2 linked regions of the Drosophila melanogaster genome follow. The protein of the gene in region 1 purifies or fractionates together with the protein of each later gene. This does not show direct contact. Each region holds a gene or a part of one and is shown in the gene's direction. Other genes may lie near its edges.

Region 1 (6,343 bases):
CCTCGCCCGTTTTGGCCAAAGAAGCCGCGGGCCGCTGAGCCGTAATCAGAAATCCGTAAGCCGGAAAGAGTCGGGCCAATTGACGGATGTGCGAGCGAGTGGCACAGATGCGGGTGATCCGCCGCTGGGAGAGGCAGCTGTCAGTGATTATTATAATACACTTTCATCGAGAGATTTATTTTACTCAGCTTTGTTGTTTCCTTAGCGTTGTTCCCCAAGTTCGTTGCTTAAGTCTTTTGATTTTCCCCTAGAAGGCTCAGGAAACTGGCAAGCAGATTAGCCGCATCACATCAGTTATCGCGCCCTTCACCTGCACCCCTAACCCTACCCTTTCCACCCTTTCCACTCGTCACTCACACTTGTGATTTAGTGGGCGTGCGCAAGAGAGAGAGAGAGAGTCCGAAGGAAAAGGACGGGGCGAGCAAACACTTGTGTTTGACTCATTCATGTCAGGTGCCAACAGGCGGATAAATTGTTTGTGTATTTCTCCATTTCGCTGTGATTTCTGCCCGGCAAGAATATTAAAAGGCCGTACTTTCATGCTTTCTAGTGAAATTGAAAACTCATTTAAACAGCCGAAAATAAACAAATTGAAGACGACGCGGCCGTGGGCAAAATTTCACTTTCAACCAATGTTTTTAAACACCTTCTCTGTACTTTAGGATTTCGTCAGCTCAAGCTCAAAAATGATATGGATATGATTTTACAAGATTTCGGGCGGAGGCAGACTTGATGAAGTAGGAGCATCTGCGATTAGCTGGAAATGGAAAAGGGGCTGGGCAGAGGTTGTGCCTGGAGATAGGGGCGAACCAAATCAGATTAGCCAGGGAAATGAAGTGGGTTCTTTGAGTGATTACGAACTGCCTCATGCTCACGTTTTCTTGGCCCATCGACAAAAAGCTGCTAATGGGAAATTATGTCTGGCTGCATCACATAATGGCCAAGTAATTGCGATCGAAGCGTGGTGGCTTTCGGATGAGTTGGCACAACACCCATAAAAAGCCCTTCGAGTAGCAAATGGGAGATGGGAAATGGGAGAGTCGATTCGATTTGGCTCGGGCTGTGAGGATTGCATTAATCAATAGGGAGACTACCACTCCGACTACCTATGACTATGACGGATTCCTACTAATTTGCTTCTCGCCGTTCTCCTCTTTTCCACTTGCAGCCAAAGACTAATCCCAACAACGAAGCCAATTAGCAACAACAGGTGAGTAAGAAGTCATTGAAGACGGTTCGCTGCCGAGGAGGCAGTTGGTAAATGTTCGATAGGTCTAGAAAATCGGAAAATGAGTGCGCTTTACAGCCCATAAATATAAGTATGATACATCATTGAATAGTCGCTCTTCTATTTTCAACGATCAAAATTTAGACGTGGTAGAAGATGGTTACACCATCAAATTGGTTTTAAAATAATAATAGCATTTGCCTCTTCAACTGTTAAGGGTATCAAAAAGCTAAAAAAAAAAGGCGCGAATATCCAGCCAAAACAGCTAAAGAACGGATGGCCACCTCATGCCGTCGACTCCAAATTGAATGACCGTCAGCATTCGGTATTTGGCCAATGATCGTCGGTATAAGACAACAACATTGGCTCTAATAAGGACCGTTACATAAAAAAAAGAGATGATGAGAATCGTTGCTGAAAATCGGGAAGTGGAGATAGAGGGGCAGAGGCGGTGTTTTTACACGGCGGTATTGCCATGATATTTTATTTTTTGCATGACACTTGCAAAATCGAAACAAAAGAGAGGGAATAACAAACTTTACTTGTGACGACCTTAAATTGTTTTTGACTTTGACTTCGACTCTGGCGGCTTTGAGCCCACAATTGCCAAAGTTACCGGTGAACATGGCTATGTGCATGTTGCCGAACAACTTATCGAGCGGACTAACAATTGTCTGTTGTGTGCGGCTGATTTGCCAGAGCTAATTAAGTTGTTCGATAGACAGTTCGGCTGTCCAATTGTTTCTTGGCTTGGTTTCATGCTTCCAACTCCTTTACATTGGTCGGCTAGTTGTCTCCTTTCGAAGTTAAACTATCACTGGTTGGATTGCATTTGGGAATGAATCGCAGGTGGTATTCCAGTATCGTGGACCTTAGGCTCCGCTTGGTCTTCTAAATGCTCGTAGCAGTAAGCTCTTCGTTTCACACCCATAATTACCTCGATATCTCTTCAAGTGTCTCAGCCCTTGTGATTTCATAAATACCCCAGGAATGCACCCCGCACGCACATGGAAATGCAGCACCTTCCACCACCCACTATCCACCAAGGCGGCCCCAATCCGCGAGCCAAGGCGAGCGGTGTGCGGGCGGGAGTGCGACTGAGACTGGGACACAGTGGGGTCTGCGGCATTAGGCACAGAATAGGCTCAGAGCCCGCTTTCTGCCGTCGACCGGTTTCGCGTTCGCGTTGGAGCCCGCTCCGGCTCTCGGGCTCTCTGCTGGCACCTGTCGCTGCCACTCTGTCTTGGCCAACTTCTTCGGCTTGCCGCGGCGACGTGCTCGTGCTCGTCGTGTTGCTTTTGGCCAAGTCGCCGCTGCCGTGGGCACGTCTTGAGCGGCGAGCGTTCAATGCGCTGCCAGCCGTCGATAAGAACGCACGCGAGCGGGTCAAGTCATCCGGCAGACAGAGACCGGCTATGGAAAGCAAAACCTAAGGCTATAGGCTATATAGAAGTCGAACTGATTAAATCGGAAATTGGAAATACGCGCGCGCGTGTGCTTTTCGCAAAGCGAACGAACACTGTTTGAATACACTTTGTATGTCAATTTAAAATTTTTTTTTTCTTCGGATTAATTTTTTTTTGCATCAAGTGAATTGGCAATGAGCAGTGCGTGATGTGCGAATTGGTGCTGCATCCCAGTCCGCGGCAGAAGAGACTTGCAACGCTATAGTTATAGTTTTTGAATTCGAATTCCAGTGCTACAGAGCAGTATCATTATGTCGAGCATGAATCAAATGAGTGTCCTCATGGATAAGATCAACACGGTGAGTGCCAAGGGATTCTCTGGGCTTTTGGGGGCGTTAGTGGGTCTCTGGGTCGATCCACTTAAACCTGCCAAAGAGTGGACCTTTACACGAATTCGGTTCGGTTGTTTCGTTAAATTGAATCGCTTTTTGTGCAACCCAGTAAAATGGTGTGAAAACTATTTGCTACACTGTCGCCTCGAATACTTTGTACATTTAATACATCTATTGTTATATTCATAAACTATTTTGTTTGGTTAGGAAGTCTGTCTAGCTTCTGTGCTTTTACTTCGCAACCCCTTTTGCAATTTCGAAGAAAAGTTATTGGCTGAAGGGTAAGTCCCTCTTAACTGCTTTGGTTTCGTCACGCAGTTCCCTGCTGCACCTCTAAGGTTTTCCACCTGCTGTCTGTGAGCCTCGTATCGAGGGGGGGGGGCGAAGTAGATGAGGGGCAGGGAAAAGGGGGAATAGGCAGCGAGAGTCCGCTCTCACTTGACCAACAATTTAACGTCATTTGCATTCAAAAGTGTCGCCTAGACGCTCATAAATAAAATGAAATTGAAATTTTTGCGCCTCACTTTTCCCAGTCCCCCTTCTCCGATCGCCGATCCCCGATCCCCGATGCTCGGATGCCCGATGTCCGATGCCCGGGTACTCGACGTATTTTGATTGTGTGGAAATGAAAGTGAAATGCGCTCCAGCGAAATTAAGTGCCCATTGGCCGCCATCCCGCAATCCACCAATTCCCCCGCTCACTTCGCCCCTGATTTAAGTGCGGCTGAATGAGCTTCAATTGAATGAGCTGACGAAATGCCGCGCGCCGCATAACAAACATAAAACAAAAATCAAACGAAAAACAAACAAGTGGCCGACGTCCAATTCGGCAAATTATATGGCGGGATGGGATCGGTATTGGAGGTACCGAAAGTACTCGAGGTGCACTGCAGCCAGGCGTCTGCTGTTTGTGCAACAATAATTAATTAGTAATAATTTTCGGTTGCCTTCTTGTGTGCGAGTGTAGAAATGCCGATGGGGGGTAAGAGTTGGGCAATCTGAACGGTCGAGCCTCTGCTGGATCCTCTCAAGACCCATCCCATGCTATCCCATTCTCGCACTCTCGACCAGCACTTATTGGTTGCGATGAATGAAGCAGCTCCTGGCTTGGATTCGGCATGAAATTAGAAGACTGCAACTGCAATAGCTTTATAGCAACCCAGCTGACTGAAGTCCATCGAAATGTATGTATGGCTTTGGAAAGGAAAAAGAACAAATACTGCACAGCATAGCAATGGCATTTATCGCATATTTTACACCAACTCAACTGACACAACACCTCTATGCTGGTTGGGAAATGTCATAATACCACTTGTCTGTCCTACGCTCTACTTGTGTGGGTTTTCAATGACTTGTAGCTCCACTTCGGGCTGCGCTGAGTTTACTTCCTGGCGACACACTGACGCCTAGAGGGAGTTGGGCAACGGGAAGGGGCAGGGAATGGGGGCTATCATAATTCGCGATTGGAGGGATTATCCCCAACGAATGACCAATAATTAACGGCAAGTTCCGTTGTGACGTCAACTACCGCAATCTGCGCTAGAATTCCATTGAGCTTTCTCCACGAAATGCGCAGGTTGCATAATCTGCATCTGCATCAGCATCTGCATCTCGGCCAACTGTTTGCTTCTGCATCTGCAACTGCAACTGCCGCCAAACCCGCTCGCGAACTGGTTCGTCTGGCCTGTGGCCGCCTTATTTATGACGCAAGCCGCTGGCGGATTCTAGGCTCTAGGCTAGCTAGGCCAGACTGACATTGGCCTAGCCCACGGAGTAGTTCGAGGCGATACGGGGGCATTCAGCAGACGGACTCGATTCTCACGAGCACTGGAGCTGGAATGTGGGCCAAGTCATTGGATGGATAGTTAAATTATCTCAACCGGTGGCTTCACACTTGCTCACCTCCAATTACCTGCTATTTATATGTGGCACTTTCAGCTTGAGGCTGCAAGGCCTGCTAGTATTTCTTGGGCTATGCCAAAGTCTGCTACAAAAAAAAAAATATATCTATTGCATTATAGTGTATTTATAGTGTATGAAATAATAATATGGCATAGTCCGTAATCCGAACCCTAGACAAATCCAGACAGACCGCCAAGGTCTCCGGCCACCCGTCTCCTCGATTGTGGTGACCGCATCACAGAAAGTTGATTCCCGATAACGGATTGATATCACTACCTAGACACGGGAAGCTCTGACCCATATAGCCATATAACCCTATAGCAATTGGGCATAGGCCTGGCCGCACACGAACACTTTATACATTTTCGGAGCCCATATACGGAAGCCGTGCAATGCTAATGAATCGCTGCGAAAGCAACCGAAACCAGGCACCACCAGCACATGACCAAAACTAGACTGGGAAAAGTGTGTAATAATTTCCTGTCTCAGCCTGATTTGCATGTGAAGTCCCCACTCCAGCTCGATTTAATCCACTTGGACTTGGATTCGGATTCGGAGACCGCTGCTCTCCAATCCAATCCAATCCAATCCAATGCAATTCACTCTACTCCACTCCAGCTGGCCGTCTTGTTTGACTTACTTCATCATTCCTAATGGCAATAGATACCAAAGTATCTGCATGTAATGCGATCCATTTGCGGGCCACCTACGCTCCGAAACTTTCCAGAGTTTGTCAGAGATTTGAATTGAAATTTATGCGGACATGAATTAGCCGCCGCTGACCCGACTAATCAACTGGAAAAGCATAATTCCTTTGTTTTCGCCTTTTTTTTTCCGAGTGAAAGTGCCCATCTGACAGCTGATAACGCATTTGTTCGTGGATCGGATGTGGATGGGATGTCCGGCACATAAGCCAAGCAATTAGCAATTAAAGGTAACCATATCGGGACATATTAGGTTCTCGTTTATATAAAATGAGCTGAAAGCGATCGATGAACATTCTTTTTAAATTATATGTGAACAAGAAATCTAAACGATAAATACACCTTAAACGAGGAGTTCCATATATATAGTACAATACCATGTATCTCAGTATTTGCTCTGGGTAATTATCACATCAGCTGTGATAAGATTCCCCGCCACCTTGCTCTTCCACTCTTTCGCTGAGTATCTCCGCATCTTGGATGGCGTATCATTGTCAGTGTCAAAGCAAGTAAACATGCAAAGCAAGGCAAATATAGCTATATTTTGGACCGAGTTGGATAAGATACGGATCTCGGCCAAAAACTTTGCCCAGTTGAGAACCCAGTTCTGGGGCAGGAAGATGCAAACAGCCGTGCAAGTTGAAGTCAAGAAGCCGCCGCGAAAAAACAAGGTGAGGTTCAGTTAGTTTGGAATCGCGATTGGTTTCGTTC
Region 2 (5,489 bases), on another chromosome or scaffold:
TTGTATGCGTCGAGAATAGGGTTTAATCCACCAGCAGTAGAACGACGCCAACGCCACAGCGTAGTAAGCAGACCATCGCAACGGAGCCACGAGGTCTCCGTTCAGCTGAGTCCTCCACAGCCAGTAAGTAGCACACAAAGCTGTCTTGTCTATCCCGAGTGCTCATTTCGTGTATTCCAGCGTCCACGATTCGCGAGCATGCCATCGCAAGTGGGAAAGGACGAGCCAGCTAGGGATGCGGCCATCCAAGTCGCGAGCTCCAAGAGATTTACGGTAACACCAGCTCGAGTGGACGAGCAGACCTAGAATGTTGTCAAGTCCATTTGGGTTTCCACTCTCACAGATCTTTGTATAATATTTAAATAATGTAAGTGTCAATTTTGTAAAGTTAATTAGTTGTTATACTCCAGCAGGGGGTATGTCCGTACAGAATCTGTGATAGTGCTAACCTGCAATGGCGTCCATAGCATAGTTAAGCGTATATGTGTAATGTGCATCTTTGTATAACAATTTCCAATAAAAAACTACAAGTCTAATCCGCTCGGTCCCTGCCGATCCGCTTTGACTTGGGCGCGACCACGTTTCAGTTGTAGACGTTCGCGGACCGCTCGCTCCTGGCGCCTGCGCAGCTTCTCCAGTGTCTCCTCGCTGGGTGGCGCAGGTGCCACAGCCTCCTGGGAGCGTATGATGGTGCGCAGCTTCTCCAGCGCATCGGCCAGGTTCATTTGCTGGGAGCGCGTAAGATCACTCTTGATGTAAAAGTAGCCGTCTTTGGTAATCCGGTTTGCCAGCACCTTGAGCAGCTTCTGGCGCGTCTGCTCGGGTATCCAGTCCGCTTGTGCCACCTTGAAGCGTACATCCACCTTGGTATTCACCGTGTTCACGTGCTGACCACCGGGTCCGGAGCTCCTGCTGTAGGTGATCTCCAGTCGGTCCATGGGAATGAAGCCGCTGAACTTGTCGCTGCCACTGGGCTGGGTGGGGGATGTATACATATATCAATAGATGGGATCCCTGAAGGCACTGCATCCACTTACCGGCGGGGGCGGCGTGTAGATTTGCAGTCGGGCGCCGGGATAGATCTTGTCCAGGGATAAATCGCTCTTGTAGGAGAGCTGACGACCCAGAAGGTTGCCTGTGCCGCCTGAGGAGCTGCTCTGGCGCAGAACTCTTATGAAGGCACTCGTAATTTTATTCATTTTATGCCAAAATTTCAATGAGTTAAGCTAAATTAAATGTTACGAGAACGACGTTTGTGTTCACCACAGAACAGCTGTTCGAGGTGAGTTGCGTGCAGTGTGACCGAACTTAGCTAAGCGCGACAATTCAAAACTCCCAAATCGAAAGCTTGTTTTATCTTTTATGTAACCGTGTTTTCTTTATTGTTAATCCTAAAAAACAATCTTTAATCTTAAAACAAGGGAAAACGATACTTTGTACGCCATACTCTGTAACTTTTCCACTGTCACAAGCATAAGGCAGTGTGGAAAGTGCATTAGGTAAGTCCTCTGGTTGAAGTGCGCACTAGCCAAGTTCCAAGCCATTAGTGGAGTGCCAATTTAGGCAATTTTCAGCTTCGTATGGCGAACATTTTCGTATTCGAAATGTCTGACCACAGTCCCTCTGCAACTTTCATTGAATGCGGTCGAGTGCGGTTGTGCGACGGCCGATTGTTGTTATTAATCCGCCGCAAACGAAACTGAATCCAGGTGGGCACTCACACCGATCTTCCGGACTATATTGCACCGACCTTAAATATATACACGTATATCAAAGACTGGAGAACCCAAAAACTAAATGTTTACAACGTGCGGCAAACGCGAAATTTGCGGTTTTCATTAAACAGTGAGGTAGATAGTGGTTGCGATCGAGTTCTCGTTATATTTATATTTCTGCTTTCGATCTTGTTCTTGTTTTTTTTTTCTCCTGCTCGATTCCAATTGGAAGCGTTCGATCGGTCCAGAAATCCAGAATTATTCTTTATTGATCGCTGTGACTGCGTGTTCGCCGAGAATTATTCGTCGTCATCAACAGAAGCGGCCCGAATTGGCTCATAAAACATAAAAATCGCTTGGCAGCAGCCACACGGAATATATATATATATACATATGTATAAATTTATTTATATTTGTACGCATATATAGTTAAAATTCGAGACGAGACGCGAAAGGCGAGGCAAACAAAACAAGCAAATAAAAACGTAACAAAACAAAAACGAAGTGAACAGCGTGTTTTTCGGGATACTCCTTTCGTTCTTACCTGAGTTTTCGACTCTCACCTTTGCAGCCGGCAATTAGCATCCCCCCCTTCGATCCCCGGAATACCGCACCCTCCGCTCGCGAGTTAAACTCTAATAAACGCAGGATCAAAAGGACACCATGGCTATGCAACGGGAAGCTGGAGTGCAGGACTTCGTCCTCCTCGACCAAGTGTCCATGGAGAAGTTCATGGATAACCTGAGAAAGCGGTAAGTTTGCCTCTAAATTATTTAAGAATTACAAGCTAAGCTAGAATTTTTAATAATAACAAAAGACAGAGAGATTACTTTTACCTTTACCGTATCTATTGATTCCTCCGTTGGCCTTGTCCTCCGCCAACTTGTCCATCTCCACTCCACATCACAAACGACTCCCCCCGCGAACTCCGCGCCTTTGGGAAAACCACTTTTCCTCCAGTCGATGGTCTAGTTCAAGGCTTCTGTTTTGATCGATTAGCGAGCGGAAAAACTGGTTTGACCGTAGTTCTTGGCTTTTCCGCCTTGATTAAACTGGATTTGCTTATCGGCGTTTCAATTAAAGCCGACCTTATCTCCCTCATTTAACCCCTTCCCGCCGAGTTTTCGGTTCCACTCCAGAGGGCACTCAATGGACCCATTTACGTGCTCATTTGGAGTGCTAAACTCTCCTTTTTGTGGCATGACTTTCGGTTTTAAATGCATTCATTAGTGGCATTTCAATTCAATTTGGTAGTTGAACGGAAAGTGGTAATAGATTTGATGGAAAAGGAGAGAAATTCTTAAGAAATATGATATATTTAGCTTAATTAAAGGTTTTTTAAAGTTGGTTACAAACAAAAAATGTGACTACAAACTGCATGAATAAATATTATAAAATGATTGAGAATCAAGCTAACATGTTCAAATCTTTCTGCTTTTTGTAGTTTAAAATAGTAGTTATCAAGTAGCAGATGTATCTGTAAATCATCCAGCTACCATTATCTAAGTTAAATATTTAAGAGAGTGAAATCCATGTCACATTCCCACTCCGGGGACCAACCGCCCAATCGCGTGTCAATATTTGTGTGGCCGGCACTGTGGTTCCAGGTGGTTACCTACATGACCATTATGTAAAGTTCCTTAACCCACCGACAACCACGCAGCCACAACCCACATATATCATTTCATTTTATTTCATTTCGGTCCGAGTGTCAACAACTTGTTGCAACCGCTTCCTTTGCACTTGGAGCACGAATGGATTCCCCATCCATTTTCATACCGGGTCGCTGGTTTGCTGCATGGCTGGCTAACTTTCATGTGGAAATGATCGTTATCCGGAAAAGTTCTCGCCACCACATACATTTTGTTCAACTGATTGGCAGAGCATTGCAAAATTGTAGAAATTCGGGGTTTTGGTAACAAGTCTGCTGTTTGATAATTAAATGATTATTTTTCCAAATATTTTGCAATGTCTATAAATAAATGGTGTTACGATTCCCCGGCACTGATTCATCTAATCTGTTTATGTTTATATTCACTTAATTGCTAAAAGACTCTCGGACGATTCATCACAATAACGATTTGAATGATAAGACAAAAGCTGCAAATGAGTCAAATTGTTCAAATTGCCATCGCAAAAGGAAACGCATTGGAGTAAACCCAGTTGTATTTTGAGCTGGTTAATTACCATGGTTGAGATTAGTGGCTTGCATAAGACTGTAATTAAAGCGGACTTACGGCCAAAGATGCGTTAACCCACTTTGGTGGCTCACAAATCGCTTATCAAAGCATCAGCAAATCAAATTAAGCTGTGTAAATTGAACTAATTACATAATCACAGTCATACCTGCAATAGCAAACACGATTTTCATGTCTTACTGTACGGCATAATCGTAGCATAACTCAAATCAATTTGCTGTTTGTTAATAAATATTTAACAGGAAAGCCGGAAAACTGAAAACCAAACGAGTTGAGAAACTCGCCTCAACAAATTGAGGGTCAAAAACGCGCCAAAAATGGGAGGAAAACGCACACGTAATTGGAAAATGTGCGATGAAGACGTAAAAGAAATAAAACTCACTTTCATTTGGCATCAATCAAATGGGGAAATGAATGCATTTCGCTGCACATATATATATATATATATATATATATATCTAGTTTACTTGTTTGCCACATGACATCACATGTGTACTCATTGTTTGGCAGCTTGAAAATCCTATATTTTATTTAAGCAATATTAAATATATCTGCATGCTCCGTGACTCATGCTGTGTATCTTGCAGATACGCGAGTCAACAATAAGAAAACTGAAATAAAAATGCCATGGCGTAGCCAAAATACGAACCGGTTGATGGCGTCAGTTTGGCCGAGAGAGACTCACCCACAAAATAGAAGAGTGTGTATGTGTTTTTGAAAAGAAAACTTGTTTCTTTTTGCCCCCAAAATGAACCCATCTGGGATTCCACGATCCCCCAAAAGAAACAGATGAGTTCTCTGTTTGCCGCAATCCAAGTTCGCAGCATTTGGAGCAAGTTGATCTTTTTTACGACTGTCATTAAGTCGAGTGTCCTCATGGGAGGGCCAAGTGGCCCATAAAATGCCTGATCGATTGCCCTCTGACCCTTATTGGCTGCCAATGCATCACATGCAACAGAACTCAAGTGCCCCATTTCGTGTCTACTTAGCTGATAAGTTTTGTTTTCATTTTCGACAATTGTTTACGCATTTATTTGTATTTCAAAGAGAACTAGCTAGCATCTAAAGCTCTCGTATTTTCCATGAACTGCTTTCAGTGTGAAAAATATTCACTGGGGTCGTTGAATTTGGAGCATTATTTTTGGATTTTATTAAGTAATTTGTTTGACATCGGAAAAAAATTCAAAATTCTTTAAATGTGACGAGGTGAAGAAGCCGATTAAACATAGGTATAAATAATATATAGCAAAAATGCTATATGTACATTTTTACAACGCATGTCGAATACATATAAATTATAATAAAGTGTTGAGACTATAAATTTATGGAATCCTTAATAGATTGTACTACACTCCATTGCTATCAGTGTTCAGAGCGATAAGCTTGGCACACCCACTTAAGCAAAGTTCCTGAGAGCTCGAAGTGGGTCTTCCCCATCAGGCACTTTATGAAATCGGTGGAACAAACTATGAGCAGTTTTAGCCGACAAACTGATGATTCATACGACGATATCCACTTTCAATGCGAACAACAAACTGCATTTCATTTTCATTTAAATGCTACTCACTTTGTGCTC

Evidence for each region. The genes of interacting proteins can lie anywhere in the genome.
Region 2: the proteins of DAAM (region 1) and Myo31DF purify together in Drosophila melanogaster (affinity purification with western blotting, with the first as the bait; one study listed by BioGRID). This does not show direct contact.

What each region holds. Positions count from the first base shown.
Region 1 is NC_004354.4:1,304,726-1,311,068, reverse strand, and holds the start of DAAM (dishevelled associated activator of morphogenesis), read left to right. Parts: upstream 1-2,596; 5' UTR 2,597-2,945; coding exon 2,946-2,993; intron 2,994-6,223; exon of another isoform or gene 6,224-6,303; intron 6,304-6,343.
Region 2 is NT_033779.5:10,502,904-10,508,392, reverse strand, and holds the start of Myo31DF (myosin 31DF), read left to right. Parts: upstream 1-1,613; 5' UTR 1,614-2,378; coding exon 2,379-2,467; intron 2,468-5,489. Other genes in the region: CG7384 (uncharacterized protein), read left to right, coding at 1-123, 181-306; CG6094 (uncharacterized protein), read right to left, coding at 525-974, 1,038-1,199. UniProt on the Drosophila melanogaster protein: Unconventional myosin that functions as actin-based motor protein with ATPase activity. Binds to membranes enriched in phosphatidylinositol 4-5-bisphosphate, and can glide along actin filaments when anchored to a lipid bilayer.